Oryctolagus cuniculus: one gene and its partners. The protein of the gene in region 1 purifies or fractionates together with the protein of each later gene. This does not show direct contact. Links are inferred from orthologs where the notes say so. Each region holds a gene or a part of one and is shown on either strand. Other genes may lie near its edges.

Region 1 (9,607 bases):
TCTTCCCGGGTTGGCTACTATCCCTTCCACCTCCGTGGAAGGGCAGTTCCCCCTGGCCGCATTCCCCACTTCCGCAGGGGAGCGGCACACCGCCGGCCAGCTTTCTCGGGGGCTGCACGGGTTCCCTTTAGATGTTCCCCATAGATGTTCCTGGTGCATGCCGTCTCTCTCCTCCTTTACAGTCCTCCTCCGCCAATCCCAACTCGGCTGAGTACGCTGCTCTCCAATCAGGAGCAAGTCCTACAGTTTATTAGTTGAACTGGAGGCAGCTGTGCGGAAGCTGTTTACTTCTCTCCCAGCGCCATATTGTGGGAGAGCAGATGCATAGAATAAGTCCTAATTCGAGTAACTCAGTCTGGTCCGGATTGCTCCCCACAGATCCCCCTTTCTTTTTATTTTTTATCGTTGATACGCGCCTGTCCTCGGTGTCCCGCGGCACACACTCTGCTCTACTTGCTAGAGCCGCCACAGGCTCTTACAAGTCCTATCAATCAGGAAAACCGAATCCGGGTCCTCTCTTCGCCATTGTGAGGAGGTTTTTAGGCGCTGATGCGTGCCTGTGTTCGGTGCCCTGCAGCGCATGCTCTGCTCTGCTAGAACTGCCTGCAGGTGTTTACAAAACCTATCAGGCAAACCGAATCCAAGCCTTCTCATTGCCTTATTGTGGGGGAGACTTATTAGTGTTGGTTCGTGCCTATCTTCGGTGACCTGCAGCTCATACTCTGGTCGAGCTTTGCTGGCGCTTACCGCCTTAAATCAGGCAGACCGAATCCAAGCCTTCTAATTGGCATGTTGAGGGGAGGCCTTATTTTTCTCTATTTCTCTATCTCCGGGCATTCCTACCTCTCCCATTTCACTTCTATCTTCCAGCATTCCCATTTCTCTTTTACTTCACTTCCAAACTTCTGTTTCTCTTATCCCTGCGGCTTTCCGGCACCTCGCCCCGCCGGCGGGTTCCCGGCTCTGCGCCGCTTCAGCCCGCGCGCCTCTCTGCGCGGCTTCCCGGCTTTGCGCGGTCCGCGGTCTCCACGCTTAACCCTTTCGCGTCTGAACCACGGCCTACGCCAGCGTTCCCTATCTATTCACGCCCCGTGCTCTCTCTGCACGCGGCGGCTTCCGCGAGTAACACAGCGTAGCTTGCGTCTCCGCCACTAGGATTCAATCTAAGTTCCCCGGGCTAGCCTGGCGAATTCAACCCAGCGTACGTCTCCGCCCCACGATCTGGCTTCCCGTCCTTTGCTCCCCGGGCTAATCAGACGGATCCCAATCTGGCTTACGTCTCAGCTTCTGGTTTTAACTTTTCGCCCCCTATTCCCGGGCTAACTTGAGAATCCCAAAGTGGCTTTCGTTTCCGCCTTGGCCTGCCCCCCGCGGCTTCAATTTCCCTAACATTTTTCTCTACCCGGTATGTTTCCCCAAGCTTTCCTCCAACGATATTCCTCCCTCATTTCTCCTGGCCTCTCCCCACAGTCCGCGTCCGAGTCTGTTTGTTCTAGCTTTCACTTTCGCTTTCGACCTTAGAGATTTCTCCCAGCTTCCCCCCGTAGTCCGTATCCGAGTCTATGCCTAGGCTTTCAATAGCTTCTTCCGGCACCCTTTTCGTCCGGCTTTTCCCTAGGCTGTTTGCTAGTCTCTCTCTCCGGTAATTTCCCTAGGCTGTTTGCTAGTTTCTCTCTCCGATATTTTCCCAGTTCTTCCCGTTTCTTCCCTCCTGAGTTTCGTATCCGTCCTAAGTTTCCTATCCGAGTCACGTTTCTTCCCTCCTAAGTTTTCTATCCATCCTAGGTTTCCTATCCGAGCTAGGTTTCCTAACCGAGTTAGGTTTCCTATCCAAGTCACGGCACCATTATGTCGCTCCCCCTCTTCGTGGAGGAACGACACAGGACCCTGTGTTGTTCTTTTGTCCGCTCGGCCCTCCCCGGGTTTGCTGCTGGTTCTTCCCGGGTTGGCTACTATCCCTTCCACCTCCGTGGAAGGGCAGTTCCCCCTGGCCGCATTCCCCACTTCCGCAGGGGAGCGGCACACCGCCGGCCAGCTTTCTCGGGGGCTGCACGGGTTCCCTTTAGATGTTCCCCATAGATGTTCCTGGTGCATGCCGTCTCTCTCCTCCTTTATAGTCCTCCTCCGCCAATCCCAACTCGGCTGAGTACGCTGCTCTCCAATCAGGAGCAAGTCCTACAGTTAATTGGTTGAACTGGAGGCAGCTGTGCGGAAGCTGTTTACTTCTCTCCCAGCGCCATATTGTGGGAGAGCAGATGCATAGAATAAGTCCTAATTCGAGTAACTCAGTCTGGTCCGGATTGCTCCCCACAAGAGACAAGGATCTTCATCTGCTGGTTCACTCCCCAAATGGCTACAGTAGCTAGAGCTGGGCTTCTTCCAGGTCTCCCAAGCTCTTGGGCCATTTTGTGCTGCTTTCCCAGGCACATTAGCAGGGACCTGGATCGGAAGTGGAGCAGTCGGGTCATGAATTGGTGCCCATATGGGATGCTGGTGCTGCAGGTGGCTGCTTAACCTGTTACACTACAGCACCACCACCACCACCTCAAGGCAAACCCTTACATATGAGGTCTTTGGAAAGTTCCTGGAAAATGGGTATTATGAAAAAACAATGCATGGATTTCAAAACACCACAAATACATTTACCTTTCTAATCCATTCTCCAGGAACTGCTTGAAGTTCTTTGCTGTGTTATCATTGAGTAGCTTCTGTAGCCGCCTCAGGCAGGTGGTATATAAGACTGTATTGTATGCTTTCATCACGCAAGAAAGTGGGCTTTTGTACGCACACGAGCCAGGGAGCGCTGAGGGAGGGGAAGGGTTACTGTTGGCAGTGACGTGGTTGTGGAAATAATTTCTTGCCAGCTTCTCTTTCAACTCCGCCTGGGGATTGTTTTTATGACTCGCCCAGGAAAAGTGGCTTGTCGCCAGCCCGGCCGGCACACTAGACGTGTGCACTGCAGATTCTCGTTCCCCTGGGGATGTGGCGAGAACACAAGGAGGCCTAGACCCTCGGGGGAAGTCGTGGAAGGAAATTAGCTGCATATGGATAGCACTTTCAAGTTTGCATGTGTCAGCTTGGATCCTTTTATGGGGTGGTAAACAGCTTCTTGATGATCGGGTCACATGAAGACCAGCTGAGGCAGGGGAATCCTGATCCCTGGAGGTGGGGACGCAGGAGGGGGCACAGGTTGGAGGATAGCACCTTGAGCTGGCTTCTGGCTGCCCTGTTAGCCCTACCGGGGGCCTGGCAGCCTTCTCGTCCATTGTGGAACTACTCGGGCAGAGGCTGGATGCCCCTTCTCGGGGGTCTTAGGAGGCTCTTGCTGCAGAAGGAATGTTGACTTTTCTTAATTCAGGTCCTGGGATTCTGTGCTCATGTGAGGATGTGGTTCATGTCAGCTGTGCCTGTGAGCTGTGATATGATTGACACTGCCCACCTGAGCTAGCTGCCGGACAAGAGGGCTTGGGAGAGATGAGAGAGGGACTGCTTTGAGATAGGGCAGGAGTCGGGGTTAGGGAGTGGGCCTCCATGCAGCCTCCAGGAGGACGTCCAGGCAGGCACGAAAGAGGAGCGGTCGAGAGCTGGGGTTTCCACATAAACTCCACTGCCCTGGCATCTTCCATGGACGTTGTAAAGAATGCACATTCCTGGGTCCTACCCCAGAGGTAGGGTTAAAATCTAAGTAAATTTATGGTGGAGGACAGAGGCACAGGCCAGGGTCTGCCCTAGCCTTGGGCCCATTAGTTCTTTTATTTTTCTAAAGTTGAGGCCACTTAACACCACCCCTCAATTGTGGATGAGGACAGAAGGGATTTACGGTAACCATTTTAGTGGGCACTAGAGCAAGTCTCCTGTTCTGCAGGTCTTGCTCTGATCCTGTGATTAGTCTTCACCTCACACCCAAGACCTGGAAAAATGAGAACATGGACCTAATTTGGGCAGGGGCTGAGAACTGGGTCAGCAAGCTCGGATCCCCATCGTCTGAGCTGTCTGAGCTGAGCCGGTGGTTCCTGACGCTGGCCATACAGTATGCTCACATCTCCCTTCCGACCCCTCGGAGACTGCCAGCCACCTGCCGAGGAAAGTCAGATCCTCGGGGAGCATGTGAGGCTCATGTTCGGGAACCTCTCTGTCTCCACCCCAGCCCCCTCGCTGGGGTGCCTCCTTCCCAGAGTAGTGATGGCTCTCTTTTCCCTGTTGCCACATCTCCGCAGGGAACAGAAGGCCAAGAGGAACAGCCAGTGGGTGCCCACCCTGCCCAACAGCTCCCACCACCTGGACGCCGTGCCGTGCTCCACCACCATCAACAGGAACCGCATGGGCCGGGACAAGAAGAGAACCTTCCCCCTCTGGTGAGCCTGCACAGATTCCGCCCGGGCCCAGCACATTTCGTCTCGCCCCTTCCCAGCAGGACCTTGGGTTCCCCAAAACACTGCACTGCTGCCTCCTGCTCTTCCTTGGAAACACTGTCTCCTTGGGTGTCTTCAGACACTGCTGCTCTCTGGCTTCCCCAGCTGCCCCGCTCCACCTGCATCAGTGTCTCATTGTTGTTCTCCCATTTCCTAGCCACTCAAGTCGTGTTCCTGGGGTGCAGTTCTGGGGCCTTCACTCTGCCCTCCGTTTAAAGGCCATCCATGTAACTGCCACTGTGTCACTTCCTCGGGGCTGCTGGAATGGGCCCCTGCAAAGCAGGTGGCTCTCAGCAGGACACACCGCTTCTCCTGCAGTTCTGGGGGCCAGGAATCCCAAGTCAGCTTCACTGGGCTGAACGTAAGGTCTGAACAGTGCTGCGCTCCCTCCGAAAGCTCCAGGGCAAGTCCCATCCTTGCCTCTTCAGCTCTGGTGGCTGCAGTGTCCCTCAGCTGTGGCCGCATCATGCTGCTGGCTTCTTCCCTGGCACATGCCCCCAAGTGATTGAAATCCTCTGTCTCCAAGACCCTGGGATGGTATGTGGGATCATCTCTGAGGACCCGTCACTTAATCACACCTGCACAGGCCTGTTTTAGGCCATAGGAAGCTGTGGTCATAGGTTTCAGGGGCTAGGATGCCAGCACTTCTGGGGCCATTCTCAGACTTCCGCCTCTACCCTCCCTTCTGTAACCCAGGCCTGCCCCAGCCGCCACCCTTACCTCCTTGGCCTCATGCTTGCTGCCTGCTGACTCGGCTTGGGATTCTGCTCCTCGCCCAGGCCAAAAGCCTGGGCCTCTTTCTCCCTCTCTCTCTCTCTCTCTCTCTCTCTCTCTCAGCCCCTTCCTAAAAAGTCCTTTGACAATCCAGGCCTGGACCTTGCCTTGGCCAGCTCCCCACCAACCCTGGCTACGTATTGGCAGCAGCCTCAGCCATGTGTCGCCACCGCATCCTCAGCCTGGCAGGCAGTGTGGGTGTCCTCACCCTGGGCAGAGCCAGCTGCTCCACACAGAATCCTCCAGCTTTGCCAGCACATTCAGAGCCAAAGCCAGGCTTCTCCTGGGGCTGCGGGCATGCAAGCCCCACCATACTCACTCCACCTTACGCATGGCAGCCTCCTCGCTTTGGTCACACCTCACACTGACGGAGCTGTAGCCCTGCACCCTCTGCTGGAGCTCACTTCTTGTCGCCGTCTCCATGGCTTGCCCCATCTTCCCTCTCTCCCATCTCCTTTCGGGTGTCACTCACCTCCCCCTTTAGAAGGCCACTCCTGTCTCCGCACCTGTAACCCCCCTGCCATCCTCACTTCTCAGTGCAGTTGCACCTGGCACCAGGTGTGTTTTCCCTTCCCTGTTGGTTTGTTATCTGTTTGCCAGACTCTAAGGGCAAGGCAGATCTCAGCCCTCTCCATGTTCTTCAGGTGCCCGGGTCTCCCCTGCTTGCCTGCGTCATCTCTTCCTCTTTGTCTTCCTAAACCATGGAATTCCCTCACGGGTTGTCCTCCTGAGCTGCAGGATGGAGCCCAGTCTCTGCAGCCTGAGATGGGGAGCCATCAGCTCTGGGATACCCACTGGCCTTACAGTCCCATCTCCTCCATCCCCCACCACCATGGGATCTACCCTCTGCTCTCAGTCGTTTGATTGCCATTCCCTCAGCTCCTCCGCTCTCCTGCCTCTCAGCCTTTGCTCAAGTATTTCCTCTCTGCAAATGCTCTCCTGCTTTCTCACAGCTTTCTGCTAATGTCCTGCCTGCTGTGGGCCCAAAACCCACCTCTGACGCATTTCTGGGTCTTGTTCTGTTGCCCAGGGCAGCAGCTTCCTTCCCTTCCCTGAGCATCCTTGAAACAGTCAGCTCTGCCCTGGTGAAGCACTTGCCACCAGCAGTCTGGCGCTTGGCATCATGGCCCCTTCTGTCCCCATGAGACCATGGCCTCCAGACCCCTGGTGGCCATTGGTTGACAGGTGCGTGTGAGAAGCAGCCTCTTTTCTTCCAGCCAGGTTCGCAGTGACTCCCTGTACAGAGAGGGAGGCTGGCAGTTCACTCCCCTGGAGCCCTGGGTACAGGGATCGTGACGCCCTCACTAATGATGGCTGCTGTTCCACTTTCAGCTTTGATGACCACGACCCAGCTGTGATCCACGAGAACGCATCCCAGCCTGAGGTGCTCGTCCCCATCCGCCTGGACATGGAGATTGACGGGCAGAAGCTGCGGGACGCCTTCACCTGGAACATGAATGGTAGGTGGGCATCAGGCTCTGCTAGGAGACTCATGTAGTTTTGGATGTGGATCTGGGGTCAGTCCTGGTTCTGAGCCTATGTCTTAGTCCATTTTCTGTTGCTGTAACACAATACCTGAGACTGTAATTATTTATAAAGAGGTTTGTTTGGGCCCATGGTTCTGGAAGCTGGGAAGTCCAAGGTTGCACTGTGGCATCGTCATGGTTTTTTTAAATTTATTTTTTTAAAGATTTATTTATTTATTTGAAAGGCAGAGTTATAGAGAGGCAGAGAGGGAAAAGTCTTTCATCCACTGATTCACTCCCTAAATGGCTGCAACTGCTAGAGTCTGGCTGATCAGGAGCCAAGAGCTTCTTCCAGGTCTCCCACATGGGTGCAGGGGCCTAAGTACTTGGCCATCTTCTACTGCTTTCTCAGGAGCATTAGCAGGGAGCTGGATCAGAAATGGAGCAGCCATGCTTAAAGCGGTGCTCATATGGGATGCCAGCACCACAGGTGGGGGCTTTATCTGCTATGCCACAGCACTGGCCCCTGTGGTGGTTTCTGATGAGGCCCTCGTACTGCTTTGGCTCAGGGCAGAAAGTAGAGGGCAAGTGGACATGTGTGAGACAAAATGGGGGTAGAGCTGCTTTCTAGTCTCGGGTAACTAAACCAGCCCCGTGAGAGTGAAGACCTATGGGAGCAAGGCATTAACTCATGCGTGAGGCTCTATCCCCAGGGCCCAAACATCTCCCACTGCAGCCTCCTTCCAACACTGCTGCACTGGGGCCAAAGCCTCAACCTGCGCTCTGGTGGGACAGACCACATTCAAGCCACAGAAGCAAAACGTGGACATCCAGTTCCATCCTCTCCGTGAGACTGGGTAACCCAAAGGGCCTGGCGCTTGATGACAGAGATACTTCTTGGACTGGTCCATGGTCCAGCGCCTGCCCTTCCCACCCTGCTCCTCTGATGTGTCCCTGCATGCTCTCAGGCCTCTGCTCTTGCCCTCACTCACCTTCCCCTCAAGTCCTGGGTCAGATGCTGTCTCCTCTGGTTCCTCCTGGCCTTCCAAGGTTTGAACATAACGGTGGTGGCTGTAGGCAGAAAGGTCAGAGGATGTGTGCCCCGCAGTGCTGGGGGTATTCATCCCAGCTGAGAAGGTAGAGTACACACATGTGTTCTTTTACATTCTGTTCATTAATTCATCTGAGAGATGGAGAGCTCCCGTTCTCTGGTTCACTCCCCAGATACCCACAACAGCCAAGACTGAGCTAGGCTGAAGCTAGGAACTCCCATCCGAGTCTCCCACATGAGTGGCAGGGACCCAAGTACTTGAGCTCTCAGTTACTTCCTCCCAGGGTGCAAATTAGCAGGAAGCAGAGCTGGGCTTCAAACCTGGCACTCTGATGTGGGACATAAGCATCTCCCAGCCTAGCATCTTAATTGTGAAGCCAAATTCTTGTCCCTACGTGTCTTTATTTTCTTCCTAACTCTATCAGAATTTTTCTGGTGAACATACTTATATTTAGACAATGTGCTTATTTTTAAGTGCATACAAGTTTTTTTTTAAAAAAAGATTTATTTATTTTTATTTGAAAGTCAGAGTTACACAAGGAGAAGAGAGGCAGAGAGAGAGAGAAAGAGAAAGAGAGGTCTTCCATCCGATGGCTTACCCCCAATTGGCCATAACGATCGGAGCTGTGCCGATCTGAAGCCAGGAGCCAGGAGCTTCCTCCTGGTCTCCCATGCGGGTGCAGGGGCCCAAGGACTTGGGCCATCCTCCACTGCTTCCTCAGGCCATAGCAGAGAGCTTGATTGGAAGCGGAGCAGCCGGAACTAGAACCGGCGCCCATATGGGATGCTGGCACTTCAGGCCAGGGCGTTAACCCACTGCACCACAGCACCGGCCCCACAAGTTTGTTTTTTGTTTTGTTTTGTTTTCTTTTCTTTTTTTAAAGATTTATTTTATTTGAAAGGCAGAATGATCTTTCATTCCCTGGTTTGTTCCCCAATGGCCACAACAGCCAAGATTGGGACAGGCCAAAACCAGGAGCCAGGAACTCCATGTGGGTCTCCTGTGTGGATGGCAGGAGCCCAAGTACTTTGGCCGTCTTCTTTTTTTCTTTCTTTTAAAAGATTTATTATTTATTTGAAAGGCAGAGTTATGGAGAGACGGAGGCAGAGAGAGAGACAAAGAGGTCTTCCATCCGCTGGTTCACTCCCTAAATAGCCATAATGGCCGGAGCTGAGCTGATCTGAAGCCAGGAGCTTCTTTGGGGTCTCTCATGCAGGTGCAGGGCCCAAGGACTTGGGCTGTCTTCCACTGCTTTCTCAGGCCATAGCAGAGAGCTGGATCGGAAGTGGAGCAGCCAGGACTCAAACCGGCACCCGTATGAGATGATGGCACTGCTGGTGGCTGCTTTACCCACTACATCACAGTGCTGGCCCCTGGGCTATCTTCTGCTTTCCCAGGTACATTAGCAGGGAGCTGTATGAGAAGTGTAGCAGCCAAGACTAGAACTGGGCACTCTGATATGGGATTCAGGTATATAAATGGCAGCTTCACCCACTGTGTCACAATGTTGGCGTCCCTCAAGTAATCTTACAGATTAATTTATTTGTTTGAAAGGCAGAGTCACAGAGAGGGAGAAACAGAGAGATGTCTTCCATTCACTGGTTCATTCCCAAATAGTTGCATCGGCCAGGGCTAGCTAGGTCAGGACAAAGCCAGAAGCCCAGAACTTCATCAGGTCTCCCATATAGATGGCAAGGGTACAGTCATTCAGGCCATCTCCCATTGCTTTCCCAAGTGCATTAGCAGGGAGCTGGATTGGAAGCAGAGCACCTGGGACTTGAACTGGCACTTATAATGGGATCCCAGTGTCACAGGCAGTAGCTTAACCTGCTGCACCATGATCCCAGCCCAATCCCTCAAATCTTAAAAGTGGGCATGAGTGTTTTTGTCACAGAGGGCCTTA
Region 2 (10,068 bases), on another chromosome or scaffold:
CTGGGCCAAGCCAAAGCCACCTGGGAACTCCATCTGGGTCTCCCATGCTGGTGCAGGGGCCAAGCACTTGGGCCATCCTCTATGCCTCACCAGGCCATTAGCAGGAAGCTGGATTGGAAGTGGAGCAGCCGGGACCTGAACTGGTGCCCACGGGGGATGCCATGTATTGCACTGGCCCCCGGATCTAGTTTTCTATAAAGGTGCCTAGGAAAGCAGCAGCAGATGGCTCAGGTACTTGGGAGACCCAGATGGAGCTCCTGGTTCCTGGCTTTGGCCTGGCCCAGCCTGGTTCCTGCAGGCATTTGGGAAGTGAACCAGCAGACCAAAGATCTCTCTCTCTGTACCCTGCCTTTCTAATATATAAATAAATCTTAAAAGAGAGAGTCAAAAGTAAATAGCTCTATTTACATATACAGGTTTTTTTTAAAAGATTTATTTATTTATTTGAAAGGTGGAGTTACACCGAGAGAGAGAGGAAGAGAGACAGAAACAAAGAGACCTTCCATCTGCTGGTTCACTCCACAGGTGGCTGCAATGGCCAGAGCTGGGCCAGAGCCAGGAGCTTCTTCCGGATGCAGTTTTTAAATCAAGGTTTAGCAAAAGAGAAAAAACACCAAGAAGCTTACAGTACAGGACTACATAGAGTTTCGTAACGAATACCCACATTCCTAACCCTAGGAGGCAGCCAGGCGGTAACTTGGGCAGCTGGCTCCCTGCTCACAAACACGGAGACCTGGACTGAGCCCCTGGCCCCTGGCGTCGGCCTGGCACAGCCCTGGCTACTGCAGGCGTCTGGAGCGTGAACCAGCAGCAGTGAGCCGACAGATGGGGGCTCTGTCTCTTAAAGAACAAAACAAAAACAACCCATAGGAAGCAATGCTATGTGTTTTTCCAGAATACACAGGTTCCCAAACCAATCAGAAGACAAGGAGTCAGAAAAGTACAAACCTTCACATACATACTACAGCGGGTGGCTAACAGGTGAGAACGGGCTCAGCAAACCTTTTCTTAAAGGGACAGACCCATCCTTAGGCTGTGAGGCAGCACAGGTCTAGGGCAACTACTCGGCTCTGTGGCTGTCACAATAAAGCACCCCGTGGGCATGGCTGTCTTCCAGACCATACTCACGAACACAGGGCTCAGGCCAGGCTGCAGGCTGCCAAGCCCTGGAGAAACAGACACGCTCAGGAAGAGAATAAAGGGTGAAGATTTTAGTAACGAGAGGCCTTGCCTGGAGCAATGACAGAAGGGTCCCTGACGAGTTCGCAGCTCAATCCTTTACCACTAAGAGGCAACCAAGGAAAGAAAGAAAGAAACGGGTACCTTGTGGTTGTTCTCATTGTCTTCCACACTTACCTCCTTGCTGTCTGTCACAGGAACCCACTTAAATATCCTAAGGGATGTGTCACCCACAGTCACCCACTTTTTCTCCCTAAAAGAAAGACACTTCTCAGAACTAATAAAACAAAAACATACATTTTCTGTTCATTGCTTATGTTTCTCTAGTCTTAGCCAATCAGTCCTTCCACCTGGAACGCCCCCTGACGTCCCTCTCCACGGAGAGACCCCTCACCTCACGGCGCAACCTCGTCCCTTCCAGAGACTTCCCTATCAGATGCGTCCGGTGCTGAGCCCTGTCCCCGTCACCTGTCCTCAGGAGCCCGGACCTCGGCCGTACACAACTCAGGGCATTGCCAGCTCAGCAACTGACCTGGCATCACCCTTCTTTTCCAAACATTGAGTCCACCCCACGGCTATGTAGAAAGTGCTATTCCAGAAGGCCCTGCAGGAGACACAAGATGCTGAAGACATGGTCTCTACCTTCCTCCCTGGGAGCTCGTAAGAGATGGAAACACTAAGGAACATCACCGCCTACCATGGGGGCGGCGAGGACATCAAGGAGGCTGAAAGACAAGGCCAGGCGAGGCTCAACTATGGAGGGGCACCCTTGTGACTTCTGTAGCACAGACAGCAAAGGTGGCAGCGTGGCGCCACCCACGACATCAGCACCCCGTAGCGGAGCCCTGACTTGAATCTCTACCTGCTCTACTTCTGACCCAGCTTCCTGCTAACATGCCTGGGAAGGTAACAGAGGACGGCCCAAGTGCTTGGGCCCCTGCCACCCACAAGGGAGACCTGGATGAGTACATGCCCCTGGCTTTGGTCTGGCCCAGCCCCAGCTGTTGTGCCCATTTGGGGAGTGAACCAGCAGATGGAAGATCGATCTCTCAGTCTGTCACTCTGCCTTTCAAGTAAATCAATAAATAAATCTTTTAAAAACAGTAATAATAATCCCAGAAGCAAGACAGGATGCTTCTGGCTAACAGAAGTAGGCCTCACACTGGCTCTCAAAGGAGCTTTGGGGTTTTATTTTACAGAGAAGGCAACTTTCAGATATGCCACGAGCCCCCTTTCCCCAGCACATACCTGGGCAAAGGAGAGGAACATTCTAGAATACGGGAGACTATGGACAGGCAGAGGATGCAGTGTCTGAAGCTGTGTCTGGTAATAGCAAGCAGCCCCTCGGTGGGAGATGAGGCTGGAGGGGTTTGAGGCTACTCTGCAAAGGGATTGAGCAACCTACACACACACATGCACACACACTCCTTTTTGTTACCATGTGTGCTTTTCTTCTCCCCAGAGTGAGGACTCATTTGGCCTGGAACCTTCCCTGAAGCCCGGGGAAAAGCCCTGCAACCATCAACCAACTGCCGAGCTCATCTCCCAGAAACCGTTTATGGATCAAACCGTGACCGGAGGCCGTCGGCGGGTTTCAGCACGGCGGCTGAGACGCCTGCAGCCCCATCAGCGCACCTCGGCCAGTCCCTGGCTCTGGCTGGCACCTATGCAGACCCTGGCTGTGGTAACGGGCACTGCCACCCATGTGGGGGACCAGACTGCGTTCAGCTCCCGGTTTCTGCCCGGCCCAGGCCTGGCCACTGTGGGCATTTGGGTTGTGAACCAGTGGGCAGGAGTCCATTCTCTAACAAGTCTTAACACTAAAAAAACAAAATAGGCAGGGCCAGCACTGTGGCATAATGGGTAAAGCTGCTGCCTGCAGTGCCGGCATCCCATATGGGCACCAGTTCAAGTCCTGGCTGCTCCACTTCCGATCCAGCTCTCTGCTATGGCCTGGGAAAGCAGTAGAAGACAGCCCAAGTGCTTGGGCCCCTGCACCTGTGTGGGAGACCTGAAGGAAGCTCCTGGCTCCGGATCATCACAGCACCAGCCATTGCATGCATCTGGGCCACCTGGGGAGTGAATAAGCAGATGGAAGACCTCTCTCTCTCTCTCTCTCTCTGCCTCTCTGTAACTCAGCCTTTCAAATAAATAAAATAAATCTTAAAAAAAAAAAAAAAAAAAGAAAGAAAGAACAGAAAGCTCAGAAAGAATCGTTTTAAAAAAATAAAATAAGGCACTCAAAACAGCAATTCTAAGCTCTCTGTAGGCACAGGCCCCTTCTTGCATGCTCCTTATTAAATGATGTCACATGTGTGCCTCTGATAATGTTTTTGTCTCATCAGCTTATTTACCAAATTAGAATCTCAGTAAAGATAACAAACTATGTAGCACATCTTCAAAAATCCCTATTATTCCATTACCACTAAACATATAGACAAGCAGAAATAAACTTAGGGCAAATTTTTTTAATTAAAGCAAAAATTTAAAAAGAAGGTTCTGGTCATTTTAGTGTTAATCTCTTAAGTCACTCTGGTCATGGACTGGCTGCCCTGTTCTGCTTCCATATAAAGATTCCTCCAAGGGAGAAAGGACCACGGGGGACACACACAGACAGACAGACACAGACACACACACACACACACACTCTCTCTGCTGGGTGGGAGCGGCAGGCGTGGACCCGGCCTTGGGATCCCTTGCTGTTCTGCCTTACCAAGACTGCCTAAGGAGACAGCTAATCTGAAGAAATGTTCAGATTTCAACCTTCAAGTTCAAAGCTCTGGAGAAATCCTCATCACTCACAAAACAAGCAACGGCTCAAGACCAGGCCAAGGGCTTGCTCAAGACCACGAGGGCCTGACAACATGAGCTAGACCCAGCGAAAGGAAATCAGGCCCGTCCTAAACTCAACACAGAGCAACACGCTCGACCTGCTCTGAAGGGCTGCCAGCCAGTGTGTGTGCAGGTGGGAGCTGGCTTTCCAAGAAGTTGCCTCTCGGGGCTGGCGCTGTGGCGTAGAGGGTAAAGCCCCAGCCTGCAGCACTGGCATCCCGTATGGGCGCCGGTTCGAGTCCCGGCTGCTCCAATTCTGAGCCAGCTCTCTGCTGTGGTCTGGGAAAGCAGTGGAAGATGGCCCAAGTGCTTGGACCCCGGAACCCGCGTGGGAGACCTGGAAGAAGCTCCTGGCTTCAGATCGGCGCAGCTCCGGCTGTTGCGGCCAATTGGGGAGTGAACCAGGGATGGAAGACCTCTCTCTCTCTCTAACTCTGCCCATCAAATAATGTAATTAATTTTAAAAAAAGAAAGAAGTTACTTCTCTAAGACTGCTTAGTACTTGCTGTCAGCCCGAGCAAGAACCAAATGCAGGGAGCTGATGTCTCGCGGACCTGAACCGCTTTGCAAAGTTTCAAGGCCAAATCTGAAGTTTATACTAAATAAACACATAAAAGTCACTACTGTCACAGCTGCTATGAAGCAAATAATGCCATCAGGAAATGCAGAGAGGTGACGATGGACTGGAAACAACGAGCTAAAAAAGGCTCAGGGGGCACCGGTTCCCGACCGGTCCGCTCCGTTTCCTCATCTGCTGACCACGTATTCAGTATCGAAGACCCTCGTCTAGGAAGGCAGGGAACGAGACGCACGGCCCCTTCCCTCCCAGGGCCCGCATTCCAGCCGCAAGCGGACCTGGACAACTCAGTCAGCGCTAGCCGTCCCAGCGGACACTTCTGGCTTTCGGCGCGGTGACCGGAAGCCAACGGAGAGCGAGCGAGAAGGCCCTTCCGGCCTGCGGGGAGGGGAACGCATAGCCAGGCCCACACGGGAGCCCCCGGGCTCCTACCTACTGCTGGCTAGCTAGAGGAACAGGCTCCGGGAGCTTCCGGAGCTTCACCTGCGACTTCAGGGGGCGTTAGGGGAAAGAGGCAGGTTTCCTTTCCGATGACCACCACGCCTGCTCCCGCGGCAGGTGGAATTACCGGGAGAACTCTCAGATTTCGACTGTGTTATGTGGAGCGCTCAGCCGGGCCGACCGAAGCCACTCGGGGGATGGCTGGCTCCTAATCAGGGGGAGGACAGCACGGGGAGACAGCAGCAGCGGCACCAGCCCGGGACTCTGAGCCAGGACCCGCAGGCCCAGCGCCGGCCCGAAGTCCGCAGCCATCCCCGGGCCGCGCGCGACCGCGGCAGTGGGCGGGGCAGCCAGCCGGGCGGCCCGCTGATTGGCCCCGGTCGGCGCTGCCCTCTGACCTCACGCCGACGCCGGCGCGCCCTCCGCCCGCCCTCTCCCTCCCCCTCCCCCTCCGGAGCCGGCCGGCCGGCTCCCACCCAGCCTGCCGGACTGGCGCTCCTCGGGGCCTGGGCCCGCAACACACGCGCGCGCGCGCGCGCGGGCACCCTCGGCTCCCGCCCTCACCATTTCCGCACTTTCTCGATGGCCGCCATCACCTTCTTGATGTCGTCCTTGGCCCGGCTGCGGGTCTCGGCCCTGACCGACCGGCCCGACATGGCGGCGGCGGGAGCGGCGGGGGGCCGGGGCACTGCTCCCAAGACGCGCGGAGAATCGCGCGCGCCTCACACGCGCCGCCGCCACCGCCACCGCCACCGCCGCCGAAGCCGCAGCGTCACCGCGGCCGTCGCCCCCTCCGTGCGCGCGTGCGCGAGGAGGCGCGCGCACCCGCCCGCCCCTTGGGACGCGAGCCCTCAGCGCGCCTGCGCGCCCCGCCCCGGGCGGCCCTCCCGACCCCCGGGCATGGGTGCCCCGGGCCTGGGCGCGCCGAGCAGGCTGCACGTGCTGCGGGCAGGGCAAGGTGCGAGGCGCTGCCGGTACAGTGGGCGGGGTGTCCGCTTCTGCCCAGGGGCATTGAAGGTCCGCGCCCTTGCACTGCGTCCAGAGAAGCTGGGAGCCTGGCCCCGGTGGGACCTGAGTGTCCGCCCCCCCCCCCCCAGGACTCCCACTGGGCTCCAACGGCGGGGAGTTTGACACCTGTCTGGGGTGTGCCTGCTGTTCTTGGTGCTCACCCGAGGAACTGGCTGCTCGCTCTTCCAGAATCCGGTTCAAACTCCAGCCTCCCGGGGTACCCTAGGGTCCCCGTGTTCGTTCTTAGCACGATTCCACTGCCACCATTTAATGCAGCGGTCACTGGTTTCAGCGATGATGCCTTGGGAGGTTTTGGTTTTGTTTTTTCAAGATTTGAAAGACACAGAAAAGGGAGAGAGAGATCCTCCATTCACTGGTTCTCTTTCCCCCTAACGCCTGCAACTCCCAGGGCTGGGCCAGGTTGACTCCCAGAGCCGGGAACTCAATCCAGGTCTCCCGCGGTTGTGGCAGAGGCCCAAATTCTGAGCCATCCTCCCAGCTTGTGCATCCCAGGAGTGCCCCAGGCAGTCGGACCGGGGTGTGGGCATCTCAGGCAGCTTAGCCCGCTGCCCCGGAACACCACCCACGATGTGTTTTTGCTTTCAAAGAGCTTGGAGTTCAGTAGAACATGCAGACCAGGAAACAAGTATTTAAGATGCCATTTGATGAACACTAGGTTAAAAGAGACAACAAAGTGACCTAGAAAAAGTGCCCTTGAAGCTGATCTCTGCAAACAGGGCAGTCGCTAATGCCTCAAGGCCTCACTGCCTACAGACTCTCTAAACACTGCCCCCACCCACCTGCCAGCAGTCACGCATTCGTGCCCACGGGATGGAGGGAGGGTCCTGTGGCCGCAGCTCCTGGGGACGGCAGGAAGCAGTTCTCTAGGGAGATTTCTCTCTAGGGAGAGAAAGGCCCAGCGAACTTTGGACACAACAGAGCCTGGGACTGTGCCCATCTGACCAGTACCAAGACTTGACAAGCACACGCCCTTCTGTATTGGGGGGGGGGGGCACCAGGAACAGCTTCTGCTTGACTTTGGTGGTGGTGGGGGGGGAGAATGAGTTGAGAAATAATAGGATCACAAAGAGGACACATCTGTTTCTGAAACCCAGCTCATGCACAATAACCCAAGCACCGCTGGTGCACCTGCTGTTTGCCCTACAGCAGTGGACACATTGAGTGAGGCAGACACACTGCTTGCCCTTGGGGTGAAGATGAGGAAGGCAGCAGGGAAACCCAAGACAGAACAAGTGCCACGAGCGATGCTGGCTCTCGACAATTCCACAATTTGACTCACAGGGCCCCCAATTCAGGCCCCGAGTCCAACAGCCAACACCTGGAGGTGATGGCTGATTTGTCTCCCATCCATGACCAAGTCCCAGCCAGCCTCCTCCTGAGATTTTTTTCTTATTTATTTGAGTTACAGAGAGAGAGAGAGAGTTCTTCCCTCCACTAGTTCATTCCCCAAATGACCACAAACGGTCCAGGCTGAGCCAGGCCAAAGCCTGGAACCTGGAACTCCATTAGGGTCTCCCACCTGGATGGCAGGGGGCCCAAGCACTTGGGACCATCTTCTGCTGCTTTCCCAGGCACTTTAGCAGAGCTGGATCAGAAGTGGAGCCCGCAGGACTCGAACTGGGGCTCATGTAGAATGCTGGCATCGCAGGCAGCAGCTTGATGCACTGTGCCACCACACTGGCCCCCAGCCTGAGGTTTGTTGCCTGTTAACTTACTGCCCCTCCCAAATGCACTTGCCCTGGTGTCCACCGTGCTCATCAGCCACCTTTCTTGGGCCACCCCTGCCCCAACTCCGAAGATGCCCAGTTCCTCGCATTTGTCCATGTGGCCCTGCGTTCCTCAGCTCATCTCACGCTGGAGCTCACTCTCTCTGTAAGTGACCAAAGTGCTGATGGGAACCCACCAGCTACTCCCTACAGGCTATGCAGGGGGCATTCTGTTGATACCCTTCTAAAAACTCACACCTGGCCAGGGCAAGGCCACACCAAAGCCAGGAACCTCAAACCCAATCCATGTGTCCCATGTGGGTGGCAGGGGGCCAAGTACTTGAGCCACCCCCTGCTGAATCTAAAGTACAGAGTAGCCACCCACGGCTAGAACCAGGCACTCTTGACAGGGAATGCAGGGGTTCCAAGCACACAACTCCCATGCCAGAGCTCTGTCTTTAAAGATTTGAGTTAAAGAGGAGAGGCACAGGCAGAGAGAGAGAACTTCCATCCAATGGTTCACTCCCCAAATGTCCACAATGGTTAGAGCTGGGTCAGGCCAAAGCCAAGTAGCCAGGAGCACCTGGATCTCCCACGCGGGTGCAGGGGCCCAAGGACCTGGGCCATCTTCCACTGTTTTCCCAGCTGCATTAGCAGGGAGCTGGATCAGAAGTGCATCAGCCAGGACTCAAACTGGCACCCATGTCATTTTGGGATGCCGCCATTGCTGGTGGCAGCTTAACCCGCAGCCACAGCGCTGGCCCCAGGAGACTGAGTCTTAGGCAGGCAGGACAGGGTCTTCCTAGTGGTTTCCATGCCACACACATACGCACTGCCTGAACTTGGGCCTGTAGGGACTTGGGCCATATTCTGCTGGTTTCCGAGGCCATAGCAGAGAGCTGGATCGGAAGTGGAGCAGCTGGGACTTGAACTGGTGCCCATATGGGATAACCCACTGAGCTACAGTGCCAGCCTGTTTTCAATTTTTGATGCCTGATCTAGATTATGTAAACAGTAGGTGCCTGATCTAGATTATGTAATCAGTAGGTGTTAAGATGCCCACGTCCCCCATCAGCGTGCCTGGGTTCAGTTCCTAGCTTCCTGTCCATGCAGACCCTGGGAGGCAGCAGCGACAGCTCAAGTAACCGGGTTCCCGCCCCCCATACTGGAGACCTGGATGGGGTTCCTGGCTCCGAGCTCCATCACAGGCATTTGGGGGAAGTAAACCAGCAGTTGGGAGCTGTTTCTCTGAGTGTCCAAAATAAATAAATCCCCAACTTCTACTGAAAATTTTCAAACTCACTGGAGTTGAAATAGCATTATAAAAATACCAATGCTGCCACCACACTCTCAAGTATTTTTATCAAGAAGCAAAAAACAAAACAAAACGTAAACCACAGAAAGCCCCAGCAGCTGCTGCGCCCACTCCCCCCCCCCACCACGGGCCCAAGGGCAGCTTTCCGTCCCGGAGGTCTGCAGTCACCTTTCCCTGCTGTCTCCATGCATCGCATCAGAAACTCACGAGGCGAGGTGAGGTAGGAAGAACAGAATTTATTCCCATTTTACAAACAAGGAAACAAACTCAGAGCCGGCGTGACCCGCCTGCGCCAGGTCTCCCACCAGCCGACGGCAGGACTGAAGACTCCTGCCTTCAGCGACAACATCCCACAGTCGCTCCCTCTCCGGGCTGTGAGACGGGAGAGTGACCCCAGAGCTGCTTCTAAGAACAGGGGGGCCATGGGGCTTTAGCCTCACGCTTTGGACAACAGTACGCTATTCACAGGCCCCGTGTGCACAGATACCTTAGTCGGTCAGATGTGTGTTACCAGGAGCCTAAAGCAGAGACTGGCAGTATGAAGACACACGGAGAGGAAACCAGTCTCCGTCCTGTGGCCCTGGCTCGAGTTCAACATTGATTGAGTGCTTACGCTGTCCCAGGTACCACCGCGCTTGGGACACGGAACCAAGGAGCTGGGATCCTGCCCTGGTGGGGGGGGGGGGGGTCACACACGCACGTCCCAGGGGGGGTGCCTCAACAACCCAGGGGCTGGTCTGAAGGATGAGACCCGGCCCACACTGGAGTTCTTTTTTTTTTTTCAAATAAGTTGCCAACTTCTAGCTTCTCAGAAACAAGTGACGTCTGTTAGATCCCCGGCCCCTCCCCCCGCCGAGGACGCCCGCGCTCTGGCTCACCGCAGTCCCCACCATTTCTAACTGTCTTATGGGCAGGCGGCAGGGGGCCTACCACGCGTTTATGCTACCTCCTTGACGGAAGCAAGCACTGGCGCCGCAGACACGTATCCA
Region 3 (10,406 bases), on another chromosome or scaffold:
ATTATCAGAGGATAAGTATAGATTACTTGGTAAAAGCCAATCAGAAAAGACTCCCACGTCTCCCCTTAGTTTTTGTCTATCTTACCATTGGTAATGATACTCAGGAATATAATCATCATTGTTATCTTCAGGTATTCACAAACACTTGTTACCTTTGGTGTTTAAGTATTTTTTTAGAAGTAAAAATGTAATTATAAAACATGTAAGGCAACTAAGTGGTCCAAAAATCAGTCAAGCTATTATAATGTTTACTATAGATATGCAGAAAACCAAAAATCTACATTGATAAACTTTAAAGCCTTGAAGTCCCTTCTAAAGAAATACAATAAGCTAAATTAAATTTGTACATTTAATAGTCACCAGTGGACAAATTGTTATTGGGTTTTCTCATCTTTTGTGAGGTTTTATGCTGGCAACTTTATATACATTGCATATATATATACATTATATATATATGCCAACATCAGGAGAAAGAGATAAGACACTACATTTTAAATTCAAGTATTAACTGTAAATGCTTACTAGGTTAAACATTATTCCCTTATTTCTCCAAATGAGTTTCAATATGACGGTAACATGTGATTTAAGCAGAAATCCTGTTGAAACATTGCTAGATACCTGGCAGTATAGTTGTGATGTGCCATCTTACGTTTTCATTTATTGAATAGATTATCTGCTGGGTATAAAGTGCAATGGTAGATGTGACTCATTAAGTAAACTGTTTAAAAGCAATTCATTCATTCGCTGTTTAATAGACCTAAAGGGTTAGCTCTAACCTACACTAGCGTAAACTCAAGGCAGAGACTGCATCTTCATCACCTTTTAAAGTTTCCAGATACTCAGTACCTAACAGAATATATATTTGATTAAATATTTCTTGCGTGGGGCAGGGAAGCCGGCAAAGCAGGCATTGGGCTTAGTGGTTAAGACACCTGTGTCCTGTATCTGAGGGTCTGAGTTTGAAGCTTAGCTTGAGCTGACTGCAGATCCCACCAGTACAGACCCTGGGAGTCACCAGGGATGGCTCCAGCGATTGGATTCCTGGCCCCTGCCTTTAGGTGGATCAGCCCTTGCCATGGTGGGCATTTAAGGAGTGAACTCGTGGATGCAGCTCTCCTGTTGTCTCTTTCTTCCTCTCAAAAAAATATTTTTTTAAAAGAGAAATATGCAATTTTAAAAACATAGACCTAAAAATAAATTTTGAAGTAGTTAGGATGAGGTCCTATGGAAGTTACATAGAAAGTTTGATTAAAGGCCTTTATTTGTGCAGCTTATAGAAATCTGAGTTATCCAGTTTTTCACATGGCTAATGCTTACTATTGGATAGAGATGAAGCCTTTTGTCGACAGTCATACCATCCTGAACGTGCCCAATCTTGTCTGATCTCAGAAGCTAAACAGGGTTGGGTCTGGTTAGTACTTGGATGGGAGAAACGAAGACTTTAAACAAAATATATACATATACAAATAAAGTTGAATCTAAAAGAAGACAAAGCTGGAGCTGGCATTGTGGCATAGTAGGTAATGAGGCAGCCTGTAATGTCGGCATCCCATACGAGTGCTGGTTTGTGTCCTAGCTGCTTCACTTCTGATCCAGCTTCCTGATAACGGTTTAGGAAACGTGGTGGAAAATGGCCCAACTGTTTGACTCCCTGCCACTCATGTGCAGAGACCCAGAGGAAGTTCCTGGCTTTGTGCTGGCCATTGAAGCCATATGGGTAGTGAAAAGGTGGATGGAAGATCTCTCATTTGCTCTTTCAGAATAAATGAACCTTTAAACAAACATCTGATTTGGAAGCTTTTTAAAAAATATCTTAAATTGCTTGAGGCAGAGAAAGATTATTTCTGTCCACTGGTTCATTTCTCATATGCTCACAACCACCAGTGGTTTGAAGATGGAACTCAATCCAGGTCTCCCATTTAGGTGTCAGACACCCAATTACTTGATTCATCACCACCATCTTCAGGAATCTGCATTAGCTGGAAGCTGAGTCCAGGCCAGAGCCAGGACTGGTACTTTAAATTGAGATGCAGGTGTCTTAATTACTAGGCTAAGTGCTCATCCTTCAAAGCTTCTTAACTTGACAATTCTTGCTATAATTCCTTTGTAAATGAAAATTGCCATTACCCCAGAAGGCAAAGTGGTGCTCAAGTAAAAATAATTTTTTATCACACAAACTTTTTTTAGAATCTGATGTGAAAGTACTTTCAAAAACTCGTGGAGAAATGGAATTATAAGATTTACTTTGTCATGAAAACTTATGAAACCATGCATAATTTCTTTCTTTTTAAGATTCTGTTATTTCAAAGAGCTACACAGAGAGGGAGAGGTAGAGAGAGAGAGAGGTCTTCAACCTGCTGGTTCACTCCCCAATTGGCAGCAACAGCCAGAACTGAGCTGATATGAAGCCAGGAGACAGGAGCTTCTTCCAGGTCTTCCACATGGGCGCAGGGGCCCAAGGACCTGGGCCATCTTCCAATGCTCTCCCAGGCCATAGCAGAGCTGGATCGGAAGTGGAGCAGTTGGGACTCAAACCGGTGCCCATATGGGATGCCAGCACTGCAGGTAGCAGCTTTACCTGCTATGCCGCAGCACCAATGCCCCATAGTTTTTCATAATAGGCACTTTTCCACAAACTTTTTGAATATCGCTCATCGAGGTATTCATCTACCATTCATCATAAGCCTGTTTTAAAATTTATTTGCATGTATATTCAATCTCATTTATTTGTGATTCTTTTAGGTAAGTCAATGTTAGGAAGGAACATTTGTTATAGGGTTTCTTCATACTTTGGCTAAAGAAGTCAATGCCTCATTTGGCAAGTGACAGGGACATAATTTTCATGAACCTGTTTGACTTTTGAATATTCTATTCCAAATTTGAAGGTGAAAAGCTTTGAAAACTGAAATTGTTTTAAAAAGACAGCTATATAGACTATGACTTGGATTTTTCTATGCGTGTTTTCATGAAAACCTCACAACCTTAAAAATTGTTTAACTCTTTTTAAACATAAAACATATATGAATTTGTAGATGTTAAAGTCGCAGTAAATGCAAGAGTGAAAGTCCTCATTGTAACAAGGCACACGTTGAGGTGTGGGGAACTTACATTACAAGGCAATGGATGCTAGTTGGTGAGGCTCTCAGCCCAGAATAGACCCTGGTCAGATTTACAGCTTGTACCCCAAGTTCAAGGTAAAGAAAGGTCCCACTGTTCTCAACCAAAGTCCCCAAAATTCATGGCCACTAGAGAGCTAATTAAGAAAAACTTGGTTTATTTCCATGTTTCAGAATTCCGCACCTCTGGACTCAGAATGCAGTTGAAAGATGTAACCTGAGCCACTTCGGTTTTCCCTTGAGAGGAAGTGAACAGTTGGACGAGACAGTCACAAATAACACCTTTTCACAAAGCAGAAGTACTTGATCTAAAGCTCTCCTTTCACAGCTCTTAGGTAGCTCTTCAAGCCCTCAAGTACTAATTTTGGCTATGGATAACGCCCTTGGAGTCTCTTAACAAGCCAGATTATCAATGACTTGAGATCGGGCACTGTTCTCATTTTGAACCCATTGTAGAGCTTGGCATAGGGTGCAGGTGTGTGTCCAACAAATACTGGTTTAATGGAATTACACTTGAAGAGCAGGACGAAGAGACGCCTTCTTCCATGTGCCAAAGGCTTTGGTGTTGCTATACGGGAAATGTTCGTTCTTAGAAAGCTTAAATGCGAATAGATTTATTCCTCAGTGTGCGTTTGAGAATTCCGCTGAATGTAGCTGAAATGCAGCGTCCCTTCTTAAAGGTCTTGGAGAAAGAAAAGTGACAGTGACATCTCCGCATGGCTCAGAAGCGAGCACGGTCAAGTAGAAACAGAACGCTCACCCCGGGCCCCCCGGGCCCGCATTCTGTTCCTGGAACGCTCTCGGCGCGTCTCTCTGTGCAGTTTTCTTGGGACCATATCCTTTTTTGGGGGAGGGAGGAGGTGGTCTGAGTCATGTCTTTCTACAGCAGTGTCCATGTGAGGCCTTGGGGAGGCTGGGGTCACGGGGCCCTCCTTGCACCAGTGCCCTACAACGTCTCGCTTGCGGTTTACAACCGCTCTTTAAAAATAATTTCCCGCTGGGACACTCCCCCTCCCGCCCCCCGGCTTCCTCCTGCCACCCCCACCCTCTGCCCCACCCCCAGCCCTAGCGGGCCCCTGGCAAAGAAACGCCTGGGCGCCCGGGCCGGGTGTTGGAGTAAACAGCGCGCTCGGAGGATTACCGTCGCCTCGAGGCCACTTCGCCCCTTTGCCTTGGCCGCCCTCAAATGACCCCTGACAGCAGCCCCTGCTGCCCCTTCAAATGGAAACCCACAGCAGACACACACACATACACACACATACACACAAACAAAAAAACCTCAAGTCTGCCTTTCGGTTGCTACCCGCAATGACGTTTCCCCCTCGGGGTCCCGCCCCTCCGGGGGGCTTGGAATTTTGGGATTGGTCGAGAGGTAGTGGCGACAAGGCTCCGATTGGACGGCGGGGAGTTGATGGACAGCGGGGGCTGCCGCCGCGCCCGCCCGCCCTCCCCACCCGGGTGCGCGAATGTGTGTGTGCGGTGTTATGCCGGACTAGAGGGAGGCGACCGTGGCGGCGACGGCTCTGTTTATTGTCCCTCTCGCTGTGTGCGTGTGGAGAGGCCGAGAGTGCAGCGCGGCTGTCGGACGCCGCCTTTGAGGCCGTGGCGGCGACCGCGCCGAGGACTCCGGCGACCGGAGCTGTGGCCTTGGCGGAGAGCGAGGAGGACAAGGCGCCCCTGCGTCCCCGCCACGTCCGGGCGCCCTTGCGCAGCTCGAGCCTCCGGGCTTAGGCCCTGCTGGCTGTGGGGCCCGCGGAAGAGGCAGCGCCGCGGCCGGCCGCTTCCCGCTTTCTCTCCGCCTCCTCCTCAGGCGCCGCGCTAGGCCCGAGCGACGCGGCCGCCGCGCCTCGAGTTTGACGGCGGCTGGCGGCGCGGCCTCCTCGGCGGGCTCGGCCGCACGTCCGCTCCGGGTCTCGGCGATGGGGCGCTGGGGCCGGCGCGGCTAGGAGCCCGGCGAGCGGAGCGGTCGGTGCGGAGCGGCGGGGCCCAGCGGCCCGCAGGGAGGCGGGAGCGGCGGCCGCGGCTTCGGGGCCTGTGAGCGGGAGGCGCCCGCCATGGCCAAGTCGGGCGGCGGCGGCGGCGCTGGAGCCGGCGCGGGCGGCGGGGCGCTGACCTGGGTGGTGAGTGGCGGGCCCCCCCGGGGGGGGGCGGGCGTCCCGGCCGCCGCTTTGTTCGCGGCCCGCGGTGGGGGTGGTGGTGGTCGCGGGGGAGGGGGTGGAATCTGCGGGGCCGATCCGTGGGGGGAGGGGAGGAAGGGGGGCAATCCCGTCTGCAGAGCCCCCCGCGCCTTTTTTTTTTTTTTCTTTTCTTCCTGCATTCCTTCTCTTACCTCTCCGGAAGCTCAGGCTGCAGAACGAGGCGTGCACTTGAAACTTTGGGGGGTGGTGTGGGGGGATCCACCATCACACAACGTGTAGCCCCCGCCTCCTCTCTCTCTCTCTTCCTAGCTCCTAGGGCAGTGGGGCTAGCCATAGTGCCTGTGTGGGTGGGTCGGCGCTTTCTCCAAAGGTGGAGCAGGAAAATCGGGGAGAATGAGGGGTGTGTGTGTGTGTGCGCGCGCCAAAGGAAACCATCGCTGGCGCTCCAGTCTCAGAGAATGGGGTTGGACGTCTCGAGCAGTCGGCACTGGAGTTTGGGCGATCTCAAGGATGGCGAGGGCTCCGGGTCACGGCATCGCAGCGGTTAATGTGCGGTGCTCTGTCCATCTGTCAGGGTGGGATTATTCAAAGAAGCGCTTACCTACGTCAGCGGTTCAGGTGAAGCGGGTGGGGGCCGAGGCGACCAGACCCGAGCGCGTGGGGCTGTAGGTCAAGGATTTCGGCGCTCGGTTCCTGCGGCGAGTGGAAGAACTGGAGAGGCCGGATTCCCACGGCAGATCGATAATTCGCTGGCGTTTCACGCGCTCAGCGTGGAGTTCAGACCAGGGTCACTTCCTACACACACAACACTTGCAGCGAAGCTGCCTGACTGCTACTCAGGGCTTTCAATGGAGTTACCTCCCCGGCCTTTTAAACACCCCAAGTGAACTTCTGTTGGCATTTGGATTACTACATTCATTTTCCTTTTGTCTTTGGGTGAGTCTAGGGTGAATTGTCCCTTGTAAACAGGGTTGTTAGTGGCAGAAAAACATTTTCATCATTTAAGTGTGTCCCGGTGTACTTCGCGAAATAAGTTGCCAGGCTCTATGGTTGAATGTTTCTGAATTTTTTATATTACTTCAAGACTGTCGTGTGAAAGTATGAACTGACTAAAGCCAGAAGAGAAAATGTCAGTAAGTTGTGGTCCATGTGAACCTGGGGGAAGGGGTGGTGGTGGTGGTATCTGCAGAAGAGAGCTTTTCTGAAATTGGTGGTCCTTAACCCCTTACTAAAATGAGATGTGCAATGGAGTTAGTTAGCCAGATGGTATCCTGAACTTTCCTTGACTATTTGGAAAAGTGTTGAGGCCTGATCCATGCCTTCTCTGAGGACCCTTTGATTTATAATGATAAACATTTTGCTGCAAGGTTGAATTTGTTTTAACATGATAGCAATATTTTAATTTTAACTCTTAACTTTGTAAATAATTACATGACTGCTTTTTCTTTCAAGCTCAATAGGAAACTTTCATTTACAGAAGAAATTTAGCAAAACATGAATAGTCTCAGTCAACATTAGGAAAGCCATTTGAAACTAAAATTGACCTTTTTTTTTTTGCTGTAAAACTGACATGGGGTATACAGTAAAATGGAGAAATATGATTTATTTGAGGGTATATGTTATTGAATAGGAAGTTTACTTAGGAAATCACCTTTGTAAGTTTTCGTTAAGATTTGATGCTTACTTTAAATTTTAGTTTACATGAGCATCTTAATGTCCATAATATACTTTGGTGACCACAGATTGGCTTAATTCTTTAGGAGGCAATATAATGAAATAGCTATGGGCTCTGATTAATATAGGTTCAGATCATATGTCCAACGTGTCCTGTTGGTGGGATTTTTGGCAAGGAACCTAACCTTTTTAAGCTTCTTTCTTCATCCAATAAGGTTACAATGAGAAATTAGATAAGGTAGCACAGGGCCAGGCTTAATAAATGTTATAATTGGCAAAATTCAAGAATTGCACACTCTGAAATGATACATCACAGTTGCTTTTACAAAAATCGCTCTTAGCTGCAGTGAAAAAATTTTTCCCTTCCAAGAGTTCAGGGTTTATTGCAGTAATCATCTGTTTTGCAAGAGGGGTAACTTTGCTTTATTGAAGCTGGTGTTAGGTTGCCACCTGCTTGTGGATGACAGAAATAAAAATGGAATAGTCCTATATATTCTGGGTGGATGGGAGTGGGTTGAATGCCATGTGTTGCTGGTTGTTAACTTCCGTTGGGCTGTGTACCAGCATGTGTTAAACATTGTCATTGCACAAAGTTTACTTTTTCACTACCTGGAACCATAGAGCAAAGAGGTTTAAGATTGGCATTAATTTTTCTTTTTAGTAACTCATTTGATCTGTTTGGGATTTGCAGTATCTAAATCAGTATTTTTGTAATAAAAGGTGATAAATACTTTAAGTGTGGTGTAAGGATTTTGAGTTCAAATAGACTACAGGTATAAAGGTTTCTCTGAAGCCAGTGGAGTTTCTTGAATTAATTCTTAGTTTGAAAGCTTTGATTAGCAGACCATAATAGTTTGTTTCATTCTATTACTCTTTTTTTTTTATCATGTTTAGGCGATTGTAGCAAATCTATAAAAATATTAGAATATAGTCATTATTCATCATGTTTTTTAGTAACACTCTAACTTGGTTTAAAAAATGGAAAATGTTAAGTAAGTATCTAAAAAGTGGTAGCCAAAATATAATGAGCCCTCTTCTAACATTAAACCTCAATAATTGTCAACTTAAGGTTACCTACTTTTCCCCTTCTCACTATTTTAAAGAAAAGCAAATCCTAAAATTACATCACTTCATTTTTTTAAAAAGATTTTTTTATTTATTTGAAAGTCAGAGTTACACAGAGAAGGAGAGGAAGAGAGAGAGGTTCTCCATCCACTGGTTCACTCCACAATTGGCCGCAATGGCCAGAGCTGCGCCGATCAGAAGCCTGGAGCCAGGAGCTTCTTCTGGGTCTCCCACGTGGGTGCAAGGGTCAAGCACTTGGGCCATCTACTGCTCTCCCAGGCCATAGCAGAGAGCTGGATTGGGAGTTGAGCAGCTGGGGCTAGAACCGGCGCCCATATGCTATGCCAGCACTGCAGGCGGCGGCTTTACCCTCTACGCTGCAACGCTGGCCCCAACATCACTTCATCTTTAACTGTCTTAATATTTGTTATCAAAAATTAAGTCTCTTTTTAAAAGTTAACATTTTTGTTTTTTAAAATTCATTGAAATATATGGCATATGCCTTTTTGACTGTGAGTCAAACATGACTAAATACTTCAAGATTTATAGAACAGCACTCTAAGTACTCATTATTGAAATTCTAAATTCCTCAGGCAGATTTTCATAAATTATGTGCCCTCTCCATTGAAATTTATTTCCCGAGTTACCCAAAGTTAATCTCTTCACTGTCTCCTATATAAATTATGCCTTTTTTGGGTTACTTTTGCTTGCTTACTTTTCATCAGGAATGCCCTTCTCCATTTTTAGCAGTCTGAATCTTTATTCTTCAAGACTAGCTCGGTCTCACCAAACTTATTTTCTAGTTTATAGTCATCCTGTCATCTTTTTTTCCTCTTTAAACTTTGTTGTTCTTAGAAATCGTAAGTCTGTCTTTGTAACTTTCTTGCATGTCAGTTTTATCTTAAAAATATAAACTTCCGAAGTTAGACCCTGTTGATGGCCTTTATTGTGTTTACCAAAGATCTGGATACATAATTCAACCTGTTAACAAGTTGAATTATTGGCTTATTGACTTCCAGAAATTTTTCTGTCAGTAACAGGTGGTTACTAGCAATGTTCTTTAGATATATTTTCAAAACATAATAGTACTTTGAAATACTTTTCCTAAACAGTGCTAAGTTTTCTGTGTGTTCAAATCTATTAGATACTTAGATGGTGGCAACAGTTGCCTTTAGACTTTCTATTTTTAAAAATCTCGACACCAAAGGATCCAGTTTTAAGAATGGGTGTAATTCTAGGGGTTTTAGAGAATAGTCAACAAATTGTGTATAACCACCTGCTTAAGGCAAAGGTGGGATTTAAATCAGTTTATGTTCTTAACCATCATTTATGCAGCTGCCCATCTTAAAAACATTCAAACACAAAGCACCCTGATGTGACAGATTTTAAGAGACTTCTGAGAGGGGCCAGCACTGTGGTGTAGCAGGTAAAGTTGCCGCCTGCGGTGCCAGCAACCCATATGGGCGCTGGTTCAAGTCCTGGCTACTCTACTTCCAATCCAGCTCTCTGCTGTGGCCTGGGAAAGCAGTAGAAGATGGCCCAAGCTCCTGCACCGCTGTGGGAGACCTGGAAAAACTCCTGGGTCCTGGCTTTGGATTGTTGCAGCTGCGGGCATTGCGGCCAATAGAGGAATGAACCAGCAGATGGAAGACCTCTGTCTTTCCCTCTGCCTCTCCTCCTCTCTATGTATAAATCTTTTTTTTTAAAAGAGATTTCTGAAATATACCTGTCTCTTATTAACCTTTTATACAAGAAGTAAAGGCATTATTATTTGTATTTCCTTTTAAGGGTATATGTATCTATTATAGTGTAGTTTTTATAGGCTGAAAAGTGAGAGATTACTTGGTTTTATAATTCAGCTCCTGCAAACACTAGCTTTGGAGAAAGACTTAAGTTCTACAGATCTGTTATTTCTTCTCTACAGAAAGAATCATAATGAGAGAATCTACATTATGGCCCTCCACAGAAGGATTGAGCTTATCCTTTTAATTTCCATACTTGGCTCTCAGAGAGGAGTACACACAAAAAGTTTTTTTTTTTTTAATCCAGTACTGTATTTTTGCTTTTATCTTAGAGAAAACATTTTTTTCAGATCTTCATAGCAGAAATTTAAGTATTTCTTATTTTTGGGATTCCTCATCTTCTGCCTCTTTAAATTATCTCTTTTTTAGAGGGTATTTCTTGGGGAGCACAAATGGTAGACAAATTGTTGCTTTTTGTTTCATTAATGGTGGGTAGATAAAATGGCCCCTCTGCATTTTTGTATCAGTGAAATGTGATTAAAACAAACTTCAAAGAGTGGCAGCCTTGAGGAAGAAAAGCAAGGAGATATTACATGAGGTTAATGTTAAGTCTGAAGGGGCTATATGGAAAGAAGGTAAAGGGACTTGCTGCTGTTCTGCCAGCCCCATGC

The links. The genes of interacting proteins can lie anywhere in the genome.
Region 2: the proteins of SMARCB1 (region 1) and BCL7B purify together in Homo sapiens (affinity purification with mass spectrometry; 6 studies listed by BioGRID and IntAct, with this or other methods). This does not show direct contact. The link is inferred for Oryctolagus cuniculus from reciprocal best matches to the Homo sapiens genes SMARCB1 and BCL7B.
Region 3: the proteins of SMARCB1 (region 1) and TOP2B fractionate together in Homo sapiens (co-fractionation; 3 studies listed by BioGRID, with this or other methods). This does not show direct contact. The link is inferred for Oryctolagus cuniculus from reciprocal best matches to the Homo sapiens genes SMARCB1 and TOP2B.

What each region holds. Positions count from the first base shown.
Region 1 is NC_091452.1:30,733,506-30,743,112, forward strand, and holds part of SMARCB1 (SWI/SNF-related matrix-associated actin-dependent regulator of chromatin subfamily B member 1), read left to right. Parts: intron 1-4,217; coding exon 4,218-4,355; intron 4,356-6,518; coding exon 6,519-6,646; intron 6,647-9,607.
Region 2 is NC_091450.1:50,471,202-50,481,269, reverse strand, and holds the start of BCL7B (B-cell CLL/lymphoma 7 protein family member B), read right to left. Parts: upstream 5,835-10,068; 5' UTR 5,686-5,834; coding exon 5,594-5,685; intron 1,433-5,593; coding exon 1,357-1,432; intron 1-1,356. UniProt on the Homo sapiens protein: Positive regulator of apoptosis. Plays a role in the Wnt signaling pathway, negatively regulating the expression of Wnt signaling components CTNNB1 and HMGA1.
Region 3 is NC_091435.1:161,754,165-161,764,570, reverse strand, and holds the start of TOP2B (DNA topoisomerase 2-beta), read left to right. Parts: upstream 1-4,572; 5' UTR 4,573-5,170; coding exon 5,171-5,236; intron 5,237-10,406. UniProt on the Homo sapiens protein: Key decatenating enzyme that alters DNA topology by binding to two double-stranded DNA molecules, generating a double-stranded break in one of the strands, passing the intact strand through the broken strand, and religating the broken strand.